3 linked regions of the Canis lupus familiaris genome follow. The protein of the gene in region 2 interacts with the protein of the main gene of each other region in a pairwise test. Links are inferred from orthologs where the notes say so. Each region holds a gene or a part of one and is shown on either strand. Other genes may lie near its edges.

Region 1 (6,126 bases), on a different chromosome or scaffold from region 2:
GAAAACGTACATGTATCTTCCAAAATGAGAAAACTCTAATTCCCCTTGTGGCCCCCTGGACCTTATGGACCTGAACAGGAAATAGAACTTGGAAGCTTGATGGTGAAGACGCCAGAGCCTCAGCTGCACGGTCTTCACATGCTAAGGCGGGGTATGGAGGGAGAGCCCATCAGTCTACTCTCTTCAGCAAGTCTCTGCCCCTTCCCAATTCCAATCATCAGAGAAAATGCACTGCTCTTAGGAAATGGAACCATTTTCAAATATCCATTTGGGACAGGGAGGGGACAGTTGTGAATGAAGAGGTCATGACCAACGCAGAAGTTAAAGTGAATGCACTCATCTCCTCTTCCGGTCCTGGGTTTCAGTTGAACACGAACATTTACCCACAAACATTGCAGTCTTGCTTTGAGGAAACATACCAAATCCAGTAAGCTGCCTTGACAGTGACCCTTACTCTCCTGCTCTCTGTTAAGTACACCCATACCCAGAATCCCCGCTGAAGGCCCTTAATTTATGAAGAGGTATAAAACCTCCAGCTAGGAATGCCAACCACTCAGTTTGCTGGTGCTTCCTCAGCATGCCACTCTGCTTATCCTAGTTACTGCCTCTGTAGTTCTCTGAAAGGTAAGCTGCATGTAGAAAATACGGCCTCCTCTTTTCATAGCACAAAGGAGAAAGGAAAAAGACATCATCTGACATATCTTTATTAGGAGTGCTTAACAATAACAGACTCCTAGCTATTCTCTAAATTGAATAATGCATTAAACAGTAAAGAATATGTCCTGCAAGAAAATCTAGATTTCAAAGCATGAGCACAGAAATGGAAAAACTCTGACATCAACACATAAATTGGGCACAGACCTCAACTCTTAATAAGGACAGTATTTTTTAACTTAAGTCACAATCACTCTATATTAGATTTTCAATGTCTCCAGATTGCCATTTTTAATTACTTTTCTGCTCCTCACTAATTAATCGTACGTAATTTCAGGTAACTTTTGTACTCTCAAATATAATAAAAGTATTTTTTAAATGCCTAGTTATATAAATACAATACATTCTATTAATATTACATAAATGACCAATGTTTCTTTTTAAAAACCCTGTATTCAGTTGGTGATAATCCAGATGCACACCAGAACAAAAGACTTAGCCCACAATGGAATCCGAATGTGCTAAGAATGAAATCTATTAGCCCAATGGGAACCTAACAGTCCCATTTGCAAAATAGCTTTTCTTTGCCTCAATTCATTCCAAAGTATATAAGGAGTAAAACAAAAATACCACAACCTGACTCATCCCAACAAAAAGGGGGGTTGAGGGAGACTGGGATTCTCTTTTGCAAAAAGCATAGGAAGATTAATTATTTCTGGGTAAAAACATACTGAAGAACAGAACAGTAAAATTAGGGAACAGTTCAGTGATTTTTCAGGGGGTGAGGATGGGTGGGGGGGCTGATTACAAACACACAAAGGGGACTTTTGGGAGTGATGGCACTCTTCTAGGTCTTGACTGTAGAAGTGATTATATAAATGTTGCAACTGTCAGAATTCATAAAGGGTAACCTAAAGAGGCTAGGTTTTACTGTATATAAATTATATTGCCAGGAACCTGCCTTTTTAAAATGGCTATAATGTCCATTTCCACTAAATTATGAAGTGTAACATTCAAGTATACAGTTCTCAATGTTCTAGATGTAATTAGGAAAAAACTTACCAGTAAATGATTCAAGTTCAGCCTTCAGTGTTTTATATAATCATTACATATTTACAAGTATTATATAAAGTGGCTCAAAACATAAACTAAAATTATCAGATGTATTTTGCACCATTACTTGAATATAGATATATAGAAAACTGTAGTGTTTTACTCTTAAAAATGAACATTTCAATATCTATTAGATGTTAATTATGTTTTGAAGGGTTAAATTTACTACTAAATTTTACCTTTTCCATATTATAAGTAAACTGAGGAATAGAAAAGGTCATTAGATTCATTTGAGTCCCTCAGAACCACTATGAAATGTATTCTGTGTTTTTAATAGATTTCAGAGATTTTCAAGTCTTAAGAGTTACAGGAGACTGGCTGTTTTTGAAATAAGAATGTTTCAGTAATTCAACTGAAAAAAAGAAGATTGAATGTAAAATGGATCCTAAGATTATGCTTTAACACCTTACATTCTCCCTCTTCTTGAGTATATGCAGAAATATAGATTTTTCTGCAGAAAAAATAAAAGGCAAAGAAGAAGTGTCATAGTCAGAGAACACATACTTTTTTACAATACTTAACGGCAGAAACCTTTCTTTCCACATGTTCACTTAAGTAACGAATACCTTTCTCCACATATAATAGCCACTGTGAGTTCAGAAACTTAAAAGTAAAAATTCCCAATGGCATGTCCATGAAAATACTAAAAGTCTAGTAAGGCAAAAATCTTACCTCCAAAGGGTTGTGTACTACACCAAAGCACAAAGCTGCTTTTTTAAAAAGCTAGTAAAATTGAGTCAACCTGGTTTTCCTAAATAGAAATTCACTCAAACCCAAATTTTTTTTACAAAAAAATATTATTCCCTTGACTTAATTTTAGGCTTCCGAAATGAATCAGGCACGAATGGTAACACAAAGGGACAAGAGAAGAGCAGCTGGCTTCCTCTTCAGCAAATAAAACAGACCAGATCTTAGATCTTGCTCAGTTCACCCAGGACAGAAGCAAATCTGTTTTTTATATCACTGAGCAGTGGCACTTAATACATTTAAAACACCGGTCACCTGCTTGATCCACGTACACCTTCCCAGGCCCACAAAACTCAAGCATGAAGTCCTCGTTCAACTTTCCCACGCTCATCATTTCACCCTTTTTCGGGAAATCCATAGGAGGAAAGAAGAAAGAAAGAAAGAAAGAAAGAGAGAAAGAGAGAAAGAGAGAAAGAAAGAGAGAAAGAAAGAGAGAAAGAAAGAAAGAAAGAAAGAACGAAAAGAAAGAAAAAAAAGAGGAAAAGAAAGAAAGAAAAATAAAAGAAAGAAAAGAAAGAAAGAAAAAATCTAGAGTTTTTTTCTTTCAAAAAGACACGTATCAATCCGGAGTTTACAGGCACAAACTAATTAAATTAACTTGCCAGCGTCTTGAGTGAAAATACTTAGAGCGTGAAATTTCTGTTTCCTATAGTTTTCAAGACAAGTGGTTTCGGGCGGAGGCGGGGGTCTGTCATTGTTCTCAATATTGCTGCTTTCGCATCCTTGGCTTTCACACAGAGGAGCAGACAGTCCCACCTCGAGCCGGCCGGGGGGCCCTTACCTTGCAGGTGCACGGCGCCCAGGGGTCTCTGTCACGCGGGCCCGGCCTCTCCCGGAGCAGCCGCCCGCCGCGGGCCCCGCGGTCCCGGGGCCGGAGAGCGCGCCCACCGCGCGGCGCGGAGCCGGAGCGGAGCCGGAGCGGAGCCGGAGCCCGAGCGCAGCTGGATCGCCGCCCGCCGCCCGCCGCCGCCGCGGTCCCCCTCCGCGCTCCCGCCGCCCCCTCCCACCCACCGCAAGTTTCCCCGGCGGTCCCCGCCCCCTCGGCGCTTCGGGCTGCCTGGCTGCAGGGGCGCGAACCCGGTTTCAACAGGTCCAGGAGCCGGAGACGCTGCAAAGATCACCAACGACTTAACGAGGAGCCTCTCCTCCCTTTTAAAGACCCGGGGGCGGCGGAGAAAGCCTCCAAGAGCCCACGTGACCACCGAGCCGGCTGCCCAGAAATCTCGGGAGGACGCGGACTCCCCGTGTCTCGCCATCCACACTCACCTGGGCGGAGGGAGAAGCCCCGGGGAGCGAGCACTCGAGGCGCCCTTCCCGCCGGCCTGGGTTTGGGAGGTCTGGGGCGGGGCCTGAGAATGCGCATTTCCAACCCGGTGCAGGACCAAGCCCAAACGGATGCTGCCCGGTGGGGGGGCCACACTTTGAAGATTCACGTCCCTAGACCGTGCCCCACGTGGGTCTGTCAGTGGATGCTTCGGGGTCATTTAAATACAGAAGTCTGACTTTTTTTTTTTTTTTTAAGAATTTATTTACTCATGAGAGACACACAGAGAGAGAGGCAGAGACACAGGCAGAGGGAGAAGCAGGCTCCGTGCAGGGAACCCAACGTGGGACTCGATCCCGGGACCCCAGGATCACGCCCTGAGCGGAAGGCAGAGGCTCAACCACGGAAGGTGCCCCCAGAAATCTGACTCTTAAGAATCCAGTGGTGAAACTAGAGAGGCTTTGGGTTTTCTCAGTCCGGGGCCCAAGGGCAGGTTCGTGCCCCTGGAGAGGCCAAGCCACGAGGCCGTGGAGGTAGATGGCGGGTGCGGGTTCTGAGCGGCCGGCTGGGGAGGCCTTTCGCCTTAGAGCAAGGAGCCCAGGAACCTCCTCACTCACCGCTGCCAAAAGAGGCAGCTGGGGGGACATCTGCCTCTGCCGCTGGCGGCGCCCCTCTTCCCTCCGCAGGGCCTCCGTGGAGCTCCCTGCAGGCCTGAGCCCCCTGGTGGCAGCTCCAGTCCCCCAGGTCTGCGGAGTCCCCAAGCTCTCCTCGCCCACCCTGCAGCACAGCCCACAGCCTGAGGACTTTCCCTAGTCGTTAAGCAGCACCTGGCGTTAGGGCAGCCACTGGTGGCGAAAATCCAATGGTAAGTTGCATATGTCCCATAAGCCATTCTCAGACCCCAGTGCCACATTTGTGTCTAATTAATCATCAAACTATCCATACACGTGGCATAAGGGACGTGGTTCTTGATCTGGTTGTGACTCCAGATCTCTGATAAAAGAAGACCAAGAGGGCATCTGGAGGGAAACTTACAATGCCTGCCTCAAGTGTTGGGGTTTAGCCAAAAATGGCCCAAGCCGACTCTAGTGTGCTCTGGGTTTAGGAGAGTGAGGTCCACAGGTAGTGAAAGCAGGCTCCAAATGTGGAGAGCCACCCACTTTATAAACAGTGGATAGATACAATCTCTACTGCCCCACGCCCTCAATTTTCATTAAAGCAGGGACTCCTGGATGCTCTCAGGTTGTAAGGCAGGGTTTCCTGATCCTGGAGGCAGAGAAGTTAGTTTGAACAGGAGGGTGTGCGGCTGACCAGCTTCACCTGTGTAAGACTATAGAGACAAGATGCTTTGCCAATCTCGGCTTTCCTTGTTCCCTCTCTCGGGTGTCCCTGAATAGTACCCAGTGCCCACAGGCTCCTTCCTCCTTTGTACCGAAGAAAATTTTAAGCGATGGTTTTAAAATATCAGTTCTATTTGGAAGTACTTGCTTGTTAACAAGATACATCTGGACGAGAAATTATTATGAAGGAACTTCAGTCTTGAGCCACTAGGCAGGCCAAGATAATGTGAGGGTGAAGAAAGCTGACAAATGTCAAGTATCTACATTGTGCCAGGGAGTGTGCAAAGAAGTGCTTGCACCACATCCCATTTAATCGACATGGGAGCTCTGTGAACTGGTAATGTTAACCCTCCTCAGATGAGGAAACTGGCTCGCAGAGCTTATATCAACTACCTAGAGCCACACATAGTAAGGAAGGAGCCAGTAGCAGCAAGGCTTTCTTTGACAGCTACCACTTATTAGGCATTTAGCCATGCCCTACTTGTCTGCATGTTATCTCATTTTATATGCAATAGGTCTAGGAGGGAAATTCTATTATTAAGTATCCCCATTTTACCATTGAAAAAATGGCCAGTCTGTGGCTAAGACTTGAAACCAGGTAGAAGCCCAAGACTCTGTTCTCCTCCATACCAGGACTTCAATCAATTGGAAATGAAGATGGCTTGAATCAGGACACTAGATCTCCCAAGGACGAGCCCTGCCTCAAAATCCCAGAACTAGAGCTCTGTGCTCGCTGTGACTCTTCCTTCAGAAGGCGTTCCACTCATGGGAACAGCATGTTCTCTTTTTAAAGACCCTCAAACACCCACAGAAGTGGTTTGTTACACAAGGAAACCTCACTGCAGGAAATATTAAACAAAGAGAATGAATGGTAGTGAGTACGTTTCCTTCTGACTCATCCTGTGGATGGAGAAAGATAATGGGACCTTAGGGATGGAAGCTTTGCCTGTTTCTTTTTATTAAAGATTTTATTTATTTATTCATGAGAGGATACATAGAGAGAGAGGC
Region 2 (5,965 bases):
AAGAACATCCATTGGGATCCCTAGGTGGCGCAGCGGTTTAGCGCCTGCCTTTGGCCCAGGGCGTGATCCTGGAGAACCGGAATCCCACGTCGGGCTCCCGGTGCATGGAGCCTGCTTCTCCCTCTGCCTGTGTCTCTGCCTCTCTCTCTCTGTGTGTGTGACTATCATAAATGAATAATAATAAAAAAAAAAACAAAAACAAAGAACATCCATTTATCACCTAAAACTAAACCAAATCACATACTCTACTCCTTGGAATCCATGAATGCTTCCCTATCAGCTAAAGATTCCGTCCAAACTTCTTAGCAAAGTCCTTTTGCTAAGAAGAAGCCAGGTTCCAAACAAATGTTCATCTCCTCTCTGACCACTTTTCTACACATATATTATGCTCTAGCCACATTCAACTATATTCCCTGAACGTGCATGCCTTTACCTGGAAAGCTCTTTTCTCCCAACTCTATCTGGCAAACTCCTTCACCTTTCAGGATCACCCCTTCACAAAACCTTCCCTGACTCTTAGAACTGAGACATTGCCCACCTCTATGTTTTTACAACCTTTGACACTGCTTTGGCATTCACCATCTTGAACTATCATTGTTTATATGTTCATTTCTCTCATAAGATTGAATATCTAAAGTGAAAAGACCCTTCCTTAAAGACCTTTGAATCCTTAGAGCCTGGCATAATGCTTAGAATATCTTAGTGCACAGTAAATGTCTGCTGAATAGAAGATATGCCTGGTGGTAGGAGTAGGGTTTCTTAACCTGGGGTTCACAGATGGGAATCCACAGACAGAATTCAGAGGGGTCTGTGAACTTGGATAGGAAAAAAACCCCACCTATTTATTTTCACTAACCTCTAACTGAAAGTTACCATTTTCTTCAAATATAAATTGTAGGCAACAAACCACTCTAATATTAGCAGTATCTATGACAGTAACTGTGTCACAGTTACCACAGATATCTTTACATTATATTACAATTGTTGCTGATATCTCAAAATATTATTTATGTTCACCATGTGTTAAAATTGTAATTATCACACCCATCACTAGATCTGATTTCTTAATGTATTGATAAAGTATATCTATATCACTATTTTATAATTTGTGTATTTTGGTATTTCAATATAATGGTTTTCTCTATAATACAGTGTATTTTGTTTTACTCAATTAAAAATATTATTCTGAGAGGGGTTATTATCATTCTGAGCAGTTTTACTAGATGGCAGAGGGATCTACTGCACAAAGTCAGGCCTTCTTGCATTAGAAATATCCAGAATAGGGATGCTTGGGTGGCTCAGTTGATTAACCCTCTGTCTGCAGCACAGGTCATGATCTCGCAATTCCAGCATGGAGCCCTACATTGGGCTCCCTGCTCAGCGGGGAGTCTGCTTCTCCTTCTGCCCCTCACCCCACTCTCATGAGCACCCGCACGCTCTCTCTCAAAATAAATAAATTTAAAAAAAAAAAAAAAGATCCAGAACAAATGAATCTTGATGCTGTGTGTGTGGGGGTGTGTGTGTGTATATATATATATATATATACACACACACACACATATATAGTATAAACGCACTGGACATATATTGAAAATCTTACTTGCTATGTACATTTTCATAACCTTTTTGTTGAAAGTCCTTTTTGATTTTATGGGAGCCTGTAACTACTATTTCATAATATTTCATAGTTTCCCTCAGAATTCTTCCATAACCCATATGAACTCTGAACTCTTCTCTATCTTGATCAAACTTCAATTAAAGTTTGATCAAGATAGAAATCCTGGGTGTGTACCATTGTTCACTGTTATCTTTTTCACTTTTTGGTGTCCCTTTGCTGTAAACCCCTAGAACAGAAGGAGCATCTCTTAAAACTCTAAAAAGTTAGAAGTCAAAAGGGTTCTGAAGATAACTTCTTTGCACAAATGCAGGTAGGCTGGAAATGATCAAATAGCTGGTTACCAGTACTTTTTTTGTATTCCTCTTCAGTCTTTCTACTGACAAACTAATTACCAAAACAAAAACAGAGTAACCGTTCTTTGATATTTGCTGCTATAGCTCTCCTTAACAATTTTCTCAGAGCTAACAAATTCCACTAAGGCGGTGGACCTCCAGAGCCAGGAACTTGTGAGATCTTGAGGAGTCAACTTTATCTGGCTCAGCTAAAATCCTTACACGTTCTGAAGTTGTTCTGTGATCTCTAAGACCCTTGTAGTTTTCATTCACACATTCATTTTTCTACACCATTCTCACTGGCTTCAAAAAAAGCCTTTGTGATGACCTCCCCAGGTGACCCTGCTCTTAAAACAGTGGGCTGTCCCCTTCCTGGGAAGACACCTTGGGTCACCGCCCACAAACAGCCCGGTCCCTCCTTTTAAAGACACACACAAACTCCCTAAGTTGACGGAGGTTCTTTCTTCTTGCCAACCAGTTCCACCCTATGCTGGCCAGCTCCTGCACCCGAACCGCAGCCTCCCTTTTCTCTCTTCTCATCAGTCTTCCTATTTTCCACTGCTCTTCCTAATTGGGAGTGGAACATGCTAGGGGAACATATGTCCTCAGTCTCTTGGGAGTTGGACGACTTGCAATTCGGCCCCGCGACTCAGAGAACCGCTCCAATCTCATACTCGCGCCTGTATCCAAAGGGCCCCCATTTCTAATATTTCTAATCACAGCCTCCCCCCTCCACCCTCCGCGCCTCCACAAAGAACTGTCCCGGCTCTGACAGCCTGAGCGTGGACCCCACGCCCCTTTGGGTCCTGCCGGCCCCGAGGTCCCGAACGTGAATAGCCTGACTAAACTCCGGTCCTGGCCTCCAGCCTCAAGGACCCTGGCCCCAGTTCCGTTTGGACTCAGTGTCCCTTCTCGACCCCCAGCCACGACCCCACGTTCGGCTCCCGCCAGTTCCTCTGGCCTGGAGCGCCACCCCGTGCAGACCCCAGCCGGCCCTGCACTTCCTCAGCGCCCTAGACCCCGCGTCGCGCACCCTCCCCAACCCCGGCCGGCCCCCGCTCCCCGCAGCACCCCCGCCCGCAGGCCCGGGGCCCGCTCCCCAACATGGCGACGGGGACACGAGCGCGGCGGGCGGGGCGGCTCCGGGCCGGGCCCGCACAGGAGCCGTGTTCCACTGCCGGCCGGCGCCATTTTCCCGCGCCGGGCCCGGGCGGCGCCTCCTTCCCGCGGAGCCAGCGGGACCGGGACCCCAGACGCCCGGCGGGCCCACCCCTTACGGGCCCGCGTCGCCGTCACCTCACCTGAGCGCGGCCCCAGCCCTCCCGGGCGGGCCTCGGAGCACCGGCCCGGGCCGTGCGCGCCCGCCGCCCTCCGTGTGTCCGTCAGTCCGTCCTCGCGTGCGTCCGTCTGTCCGGCCGTCGGCGCCCGGCCGCCCGCAGCCCGACCCGGCAGGGCCTCAGGGAGCCGGCGGGGAGGGGGATGGGCCGGACCGGGCTGGGGAGGGAGGGGGAGGGAGGGAGAGAGGGTGGGAGCGCGGGAGGGGGCGGGGCGGGCGGGGGCGGGCCCTGGTCACGTGGCCAAACGTCCCCGAGAGCGCGAGGCGGAGCGCGCGCCCGCTCACTTGCGTGCAGAGCTTAGTGCCCGGGTCGGGAGAGTTTCTGTCTCCTGGAGCCTTAATATCATCAGTGGCTCTTGGCTCCGTTTCAGAGTAGTGCACAGCCTTATAGGAGCCCTCTGGCTGAGTGTGCTTGGGCAAGTCAGCGCTCCAAGCCTCAGTTTACATATCTGAAATAAGGGGATAATAATAGTGCTTGCAAAGAGGAAATGAAGACAAGGAAAGCACTTGGCACAATGCCTGACGCATAGTGTCCAATAACGTTAACGGTGATAAAGATAACCTTTAGCCTTTATTATTTGCCTATAAGTCCCTCTCTGCTTTTTCCCATCACCATCATGCTAGTAAGCTCAGTAGGTGCAAGAGAATGTGGCTCCTTCCCTCTCCCCAAATGTCCAGTACTGGAATTGATGTCTGTCGTACAGGCCTGGATTCAGAACTGGCTTTCACTCTTTTTTTTTAAATTAATTAATTAATTTATTTATTTATGATTGTCACAGAGAGAGAGAGAGAGAGAGAGGCGGAGACACAGGCGGAGGGAGAAGCAGGGTCCATGCACCGGGAGCCCTACGTGGGATTCGATTCCGGGACTCCAGGATCGCGCCCTGGGCCAAAGGCAGGCGCCAAACCGCTGCACCACCCAGGGATCCCTGGCTTTCACTCTTGATAGCTATGTGACTTTCTTTGCCTCTGAATCTCGGCTTATTCATCTGTGAAATGGGAGCTAAGAGTCTGTCATGAGCATCACAGGAGAGAGAAGATGAGCCGGTGGGTTGTAAACAACTGGTCAGGCATACTGATCTCATCTCAGAAAAGGAGACTGGAGTCCTTTCATTCCATTGAGCACACACTGTGGGCTTGAACTGGTGCAATAGTGATCCAAGGCCTTTTCACATCTTCCCTGGCTCCCCTTTAATCTTTTCTCCACCCTGCTGTCAGACTAATGTTTCTAAGTCAGAAATTTTATCATGTCTCCCTTCTATTTAAAACTATTTGGTGGTCCATATTGCTCTTAAGATAAAGGCCAAATAGATGTCTTACTGTTGCCCTTGCCACATCTCCAGACTTATCTTAGGGAGCTCTTCTTTTCTCTCTCGGCTGTGATTACAGTGATCTTCACACATTATACTTTCTTCTTTCTCAGGACCCTTGAACGTGCTGATCCTTGTGCCTGAAATACTCTCCTTACTTTGATAACTCATCAGCCTTCAGATCCCAGCTCAAACATCACTACCTCAAGGTCTCCTTCCCTGACCATTCCCCAGACAGGTTCTTTCGTCCTCAATAAGACACACTAGGTTGTTTATTCCTTGTCTTCACCATTAGACTGTGGACTCCATAAGGAGGGAGACTTTATCCATCTTGTTTACTACCATTTCCTCAGCATATAGCACAGTGCCTGACACAGGAGGTGCTAATAAATATTTGCTGTATTTGTGCATCCTGGACACTATGCTAGGTGATGGAACCAAGAGGGCAAAGAAAAAGAGAAGCACAGATTGCCACAAGAAGGCATCTTAGGCCCTTGAGCCTAGGAAATTAATACCAAAAGGACTTACAAGATCCTGGAAAAGGGATGCCTGAGTGGCTCAGTGGTTGAGTGTCTGCCTTCAGCTCAGGGCGTGATCCTGGAATCCAGGATTGAGTCCTGCATGGGGCTCCCTGCTTGGAGTCTGCTTCTCCCTCTGCCTATGTCTCTCTCTCTCTCTCTCTCTCTCTCTCTGTATCTCCCATGAATAAATAAAATCTTTTTTAAAATCCTGGAAAAAAGTTTTTTAAGCTTTTTCTTTTGACTTTTAAAAGGTGAGGTATAATTTACATACAGCAAAATGCAAACATCTTAAGTATATGTATAATAAATTTTTACCTGTGTTCTTGCATTGCCACCACCCAGATCAAGAACTATAAACCCAGAAAGTTCCTTTTTATCTCCTCCTATATGTCCCCTCTCAGTCAAGACCTGCTCTCCCAGAGGCATCACTATTTTGATTTCTAGCACCTTAGATCAAGTTTGACAATTCTTGCATATAAACATATATGCAAATATTCTTTTATGTTAGCCTAGAAATCTGACATACCCAAAGAGTGACTCTTTGGATAATGATAAAATTAATTAGTTACTTGATGAACAAATTAATCCAAAAGACTTCATGAGAAACAAGTTAGATAAAGCTCCTGACAAAAGCCAGCCTAAAGACAAATGACATCATCCACAAACCTCCAAGTTTCACAACAATTTCTAGAGGTAAGAAAGCTCTGAAAGATTTGAGGAATTCAACAACAACATCAACAAAAATCCAATTTAAAAATGGGCAAAGGAGTTGAATAGACATTTCTCCAAAGAAGACATACAAATGGTCTATAAGCACAGGAAGACATTCTATATCACTAGTCATTAGG
Region 3 (5,940 bases), on a different chromosome or scaffold from region 2:
TCCACATAGATGTGATAAGTATTCGTTCTTTCTGATGGCTGAGTAATATTTCATTGTATATATAGACTACAGCTTCTATATTCATTTGTCTGTTGAAGAACATCGTGGCTCCTTCCACAATTTGGCTATTATGGACATTACTGCTATGAGCATTGGGGTGCAGGTGTCCCAGCATTTCACTACATCTGTATCTTGGGGTAAATACCCAGTAGTATGATTGCTGGATCATTGGGTAGCTCTATTTTTAGCTTCTTGAGGAACCTCCACAGTTTTCCAGAGTGACTGCACCAGGATGCATTCCTACCAACAGTGCAAGAGGGCTCCCCTTTCTCCACATACTGGCCAACATTTGTTGTTTCCTGTCTTATTAATTTTAGTCATTCTCACTGGTAGAATTATACACTTCAAATGGGTGCATTGTATGGGTAGCTGAATTATACTTCAATAAAACTGTTACCAAAATATTATAGGACATTGGATCAGTCATAAATGAAGATATTGGTCTGAAATTAGGTTCAGATAACAAAACTGCCACTGACAGGGTTGACTGGAAAAATAAAAGTTACTTTACCAGCAAAAAAAAAAAAAAAAAAAAAATTATTTGGGAATAGGAGAGAGCTGCAATACTGTAATTTCGGATCGACATGCTCTGGCAAAACAAAACAAAACAAAACAAAACAAAACAAAACAAACAAACAAAAACCCAGGCAAGCTCAACAAAAGAAAGGAGTATTATTTTATGGAGAAGAAAGAGGAAGTTGGGAGGAGTTGTTTTGACCGAAAGTCCACTGGAGAAAAGCAAGAATTCAAGGTGAAGATGGTTTCTCATTGGATGAGTCTGGGGTAGCTGGTTTCTTATAGGAGATGCGATGTACATCTTTCCCTTTGGGGGCTTGTAATTGAGGATTCTTTCTCGTTGAGATTCTTCTGCTGGGGTCTGTCTGTAATTGACAGTCCTTCCTGTGATTGACACAGGAGTGATAACCCAGGAGAGCTCCCCCTGCTGGTCTGCCCCTTTCAATTTACTGAGGTCTCCCTTTATGAATTTTCACCCTGGATGCTTAGGTGCGCCAGGCACTGCCCCTCCTGAATCTTCACACCTTTCTTAAGAAATAGGAATAACTTCCCCTATTTTACAGATCCGTCAACTGAGACTGAGGGTGATATGCCTTGCCCCAAACTGCTGTAATTCATTTTCAGTCTCTTTCAGCCTTTTGCACTATTCTAGGGAAGTTAAAAACAACCTGAGCATCCCCAAGAATAAACACAGTTCTCACATATTAGGCTCTCCTTATTTGAACCTGACCTGACTCATTCTTTTTACCTTATTTAGTTGTAATGACAACCCAACTAACTCTTATTGGGCCCAATTTATTTTTTTTTAGATTGTATTTATCTATTCATGAGAGACCGAGAAAGAGGCAGAGACACAGGCAAAGGGAGAAGCAGGCTTCCTGCGGGGAACCTGATGCGGTCTCAATCCCAGGACCCTAGGATCACGACCTGAGCCAAAGGCAGGTGCTCAACTACTGAGCCACCCAGCCTCCTCGTTGGACCCAGTTTAGGAAAGGAAACTGAGGCACAGGCAGGGTCAATAGCCTGGCTCAACATAACACAACTAGGAAGTGACAGAGACACGAGTTCAGCCATTCTCTCCACTCTATGTCCATGTAATCACCCCTTTTAGTGGTAACATCCTCCGATTCCATAGCTTCAAGGTCATGTCGGAATGGACAAAACAAATTATAAAAGAGCATGACTCATACGTTGCAATAAAAAACGGATATATGCTCAATATAGATCTGATTATCATCCAGGGAAGACCAGAACAGTTCCCTTTTTCTACCTATTCAAGTACTGTGAGTTATCTTTAAAAGCTATTATTTGTATCACTTTGGTTATGAGGTTATGCTTTTTTTAAATCTTCATATCAACAAGTTCTTTTATATATATATATATATAAAGATTTTATTTATTTATTCATGAGAGACACACGGGGGGGGGGGGGCAGAAACACAGGCAGAGTAAGACGCAGGCTCCATGCAGGGAGCCCGATATGGGACTCGATCCCAGGACTCTAGGATCATGCCCTGGGCCAAAGGCAGGCACCAAACCGCTGAGCCACCCAGGGAGCCCTCAACAAGTTCTTTTTTTAATAGATTTTTCCTGGGTCTAGGTTTGCAATTCAATTTATTTCAAACCAATAAGCAACGTGCCTCTAAAACCAGAAAACTTGTTAATCAAACAAGGACAAACATGCTTCAAATCAACGTGTGCGACAAGGAGCAGAAGGTCGGGAGCTTTGTGACCAGTAAACCCCCAAGCTACGAGCCCAGAGAGGAACAGGGCTGGAGCAAAAGCAGCCCAGCTCCCACTCGGAAGGTTTGAGACAGGCCACGCCCCCTCCCGCACTACATTCGGGAACTGGTCCGGAACTCTCCTGCCAGGCCTCGGTGGAAATACTCCGGACGGTAAGCTTCCGGTGAGAATACGACTTCCGTGCGGGGCAGCCGATTTGGCTAGTTAAGCGGACCGGAAGTCCGTCACTCCTGACTGCCCGCCCCCTTCCTAAAGTGACGCACGGCGGGGTTGCCGGAAGAAGTGGCGAAGTTACTTTTGAGGGGATCCGAGAAGCGGCGGCGTGCCAGGGGATACAGAGAAGGAGGAGGAAAAGCAGAGCAAGGGGACAGAGGCAGGTGCACTAGAGTGTGGGGAGACTCGGGAGGCGTCCTGGGCCCGGGGCTTCCCGGCGTTCCCCGCGCTGCTCCGCTCAGCCTCCTTCTCTCCTTCCCCCCCCTCCCTTCCGTAGCTCGCGCTGTCTCCGGTTGTTTCCAGGGCAACGGGAGTAGGAGACCCCGCGAGAGGCCGCCCACAAGACCCTCGCGCGCAGCCATGAGCCCCGCCCCCCACTGGTGTTCGGAGAGGGGCGGGACCTGGAGCGAGGTGTGGGGGCGGAGCGTGAAGGGAGGGGTGAGGCGTGGCCTGACGGGAGGTGGGGCGGGGCCTGCAGGGAGGGGCACCGGCGGGGCGGGGCAAGGGGAGGGGCGGGGCGTGATGGCTGGAGTGAGGGTGGGACCTGGTAGGCTTGGGCGGGACCTAGATGGAAAAGTGGGGGTGGGGCAAGGGGAGGTGGTGGGGTCAGGGTGGGAGTTGGGGATGCTATTTCCGCGGAGGTGGGGAGTTCTTACTCGTAGGTAGGGTGAAACTGGGTGGGATGGAGGAAGTGAGGGCGGAGCACGATGGAAGCAGAAAGGGCAGTACCTGCAGGAACGGAGTGGGCGGAGCCTACGGGAGGGGCGGAGTCTAGGTGAGGGCAGGGCTGAGAGCCTGTGGAGGCCTGGAGCGGTCGGGGGCGGGCTCTGTCCCAACCTGAGGAGAGGTCCCAGAGGCAGGCAGGGGCTAGGCGGGGGTCTCTGCAGTAAAGGAGGAGCCTGGAAAAATGGAAGAAACAGGTGCCCGCATCAGGACTTGGGGCTGGCCTAACCTGAGCCTCCCTGGCCCCACAAGGCTCTCGGTCCCCCCGTATTCTGCAGGTTTCTCCGTGACTCCACCATGTCCACCCCCACCACCAGTTCTCTGGACACGCCCTTGCCTGGTGAGTGAGCTCCTTCCCGGCCCAGCCCCGACCCCCGTGGCACACTTGTCAGGAGAAACTCACTGTGCTTACCTCTCCCAGGAAATGGCCCGCCTCAAGCCAGCGCCCCATCTTCTTCACCAGCGATAAAGGAGGAGGGTCCTGAACTGTGGCCTTCGGGTCCAGATCCTGATGTCCCAGGCAGCGATTGGGCCCGCTCCGCTTGCAGCGGGGGTGAGATGGGGGCCAAGGACAGGGGCTGGGACAGGGTTGGGGAAGGATCCAGAAAGGGAGAAAGATCAGAAATGAGGATGGGAGGCTCCCAATTTCTCGTTAATTTTTTCTTCCATGCTTACTTGTCACTTTTTTTTTCTTTTTTTGCCCGTGAGCATATTTTTTTCCTACTTGATGCCACTTGTCATTTGTTCTTTGGGGTTCACTGATATGCACGCTTTTGTTTCTGAGACACCATTTCCCTGGGTCACTGTCTGTATCCTGGCTTTTTGCTTCTCTCTTGTGGGGATGATCCTTGGGCTGCAATTTCCTTCCGAGGCCCTGTGTCTCAGGGTTCCTGACCACCCACCCCAGTCGTTCCAGACCCTGCTGAGGAACCTGAGCGCAAGCGAAAGAAAGGCCCAGCCCCAAAGATGCTGGGCCATGAGCTGTGCCGTGTGTGCGGGGACAAGGCTTCTGGCTTCCACTACAACGTGCTCAGCTGCGAAGGCTGCAAGGGTTTCTTCCGGCGCAGTGTGGTCCGAGGCGGGGCCAGGCGCTACGCCTGCCGGGGTGGCGGGACCTGCCAGATGGACGCCTTCATGCGGCGCAAGTGCCAGCAGTGCCGGCTGCGCAAGTGCAAGGAGGCCGGGATGAGGGAGCAGTGTGAGTGCTGGGGGGAGAGCCGGCCGGACCCCTGCCCAGCCCTGGGGCCTCTGCTGAGGCCTCTGTCTCCCGAACAGGCGTCCTCTCGGAGGAACAGATCCGAAAGAAGAAGATTCGGAAGCAGCAACAGCAGCAGCAGCAACAGTCACCAGTAGGGCCAATGGGCAGCAGCACAGCTTGTGGACCTGGGGCCTCCCCTGGAGGGTCTGACGGAGGCGGCCAGGGCTCTGGGGAAGGCGAGGGTATTCAGTTAACAGCTGCTCAGGAACTAATGATCCAACAGTTGGTGGCAGCTCAACTGCAGTGCAACAAACGCTCCTTCTCTGACCAGCCCAAAGTCACGGTACCTCCCCTCCCACAGCCTTGAGGGATGATGAGCATGGTGGGGTTGAGCCAGTAAGGCTGTAGCCAAGGGCATGGGGAGGTAACAAGCCTTCAGAGGGCAGGGCCTTGGAGAGGAGGGTCTCCTAGGGTACAGTCTTTGCCTCAAGGTGTCCCTGCAGCCTTGGGCTTGAGGGAGAAGTCCTGAGAATAACCCTGGCCCCTGTTTCCCCAGCCCTGGCCTCTGGGTGCAGACCCCCAGTCCCGCGATGCCCGCCAGCAGCGTTTTGCCCACTTCACGGAACTAGCCATCATCTCAGTCCAGGAGATTGTGGATTTCGCCAAACAAGTGCCTGGCTTCCTGCAGCTGGGCCGCGAGGACCAGATCGCCCTCCTGAAGGCGTCTACCATTGAGGTAATGGGCAGTCTGCCCATCCTCTACAAGGCCCTTCCTTCCTGCCCATGAGGAGCTCCAGGGATAAGCCTCAGGAAAGCTGTTGGGAGTATAGTGATGAGTCATATACCTCCAGTTGTTGCCCTTGTGGAGAGGATACCCTACAGGGGAAGGCCAAAATACTAAACAGATAATCAGAGCCTCCCATGAGCCAAAGAGAACAAGGAAAGGGGCCGGGGCTGGGAAAAATCGAGGATTGGGCTGGAAAGAATGTGGTGCTGGGAAGGCTATTCAGATGAGTTGGCATTTAATCCAAAGCAACCATAACAAATAAATATTGAATTCCTAGCATATATGAGGCTCCACTCCAAGTGCTGAGTATGTGGCAATGAAGAAAACAGACTGCCTGTCCCCATGCCTCATAACCACCTGGGAAGAGTATCCCAAGTAGAGGGTGCTGTGGGTGCTAAACCTGGAGGAGAGAGAGTTTGGGGTATCTGACATGCTGACTGCAGGCTGGGGTGACTGAGGGAACAAGGGATGATTTCTGGCGAGATTAGGTCCCCCCACAGGCCAAGAGAGGAGAGACCAGTGGCTAAAGGGTCATAGGGACTCCTAGAGCCCCTGCCCCTGCCTACTTCTCTCCCTGCTGTCCCCAGATCATGCTGCTAGAGACGGCCAGACGCTACAACCATGAGACCGAGTGCATCACTTTCCTGAAGGACTTTACCTATAGCAAGGATGACTTTCACCGTGCAGGTACAACAGAGAG

What was found. The genes of interacting proteins can lie anywhere in the genome.
Region 1: the proteins of NCOA6 (region 2) and ESR2 interact in a two-hybrid assay, tested with the Homo sapiens proteins (3 studies listed by BioGRID). The link is inferred for Canis lupus familiaris from reciprocal best matches to the Homo sapiens genes NCOA6 and ESR2.
Region 3: the proteins of NCOA6 (region 2) and NR1H2 interact in a two-hybrid assay, tested with the Homo sapiens proteins (2 studies listed by BioGRID). The link is inferred for Canis lupus familiaris from reciprocal best matches to the Homo sapiens genes NCOA6 and NR1H2.

Annotation. Positions count from the first base shown.
Region 1 is NC_049229.1:38,986,740-38,992,865, forward strand, and holds the start of ESR2 (estrogen receptor beta), read right to left. Parts: upstream 3,406-6,126; 5' UTR 3,296-3,405; intron 1-3,295.
Region 2 is NC_049245.1:24,402,664-24,408,628, forward strand, and holds the start of NCOA6 (nuclear receptor coactivator 6), read right to left. Parts: upstream 3,396-5,965; 5' UTR 3,252-3,395; intron 1-3,251. UniProt on the Homo sapiens protein: Nuclear receptor coactivator that directly binds nuclear receptors and stimulates the transcriptional activities in a hormone-dependent fashion. Coactivates expression in an agonist- and AF2-dependent manner.
Region 3 is NC_049222.1:107,001,142-107,007,081, reverse strand, and holds the start of NR1H2 (oxysterols receptor LXR-beta), read left to right. Parts: upstream 1-2,535; 5' UTR 2,536-2,696; intron 2,697-2,809; 5' UTR 2,810-2,970; intron 2,971-3,533; 5' UTR 3,534-3,552; coding exon 3,553-3,595; intron 3,596-3,676; coding exon 3,677-3,808; intron 3,809-4,162; coding exon 4,163-4,453; intron 4,454-4,530; coding exon 4,531-4,796; intron 4,797-5,009; coding exon 5,010-5,189; intron 5,190-5,827; coding exon 5,828-5,927; intron 5,928-5,940. UniProt on the Homo sapiens protein: Nuclear receptor that exhibits a ligand-dependent transcriptional activation activity. Binds preferentially to double-stranded oligonucleotide direct repeats having the consensus half-site sequence 5'-AGGTCA-3' and 4-nt spacing (DR-4).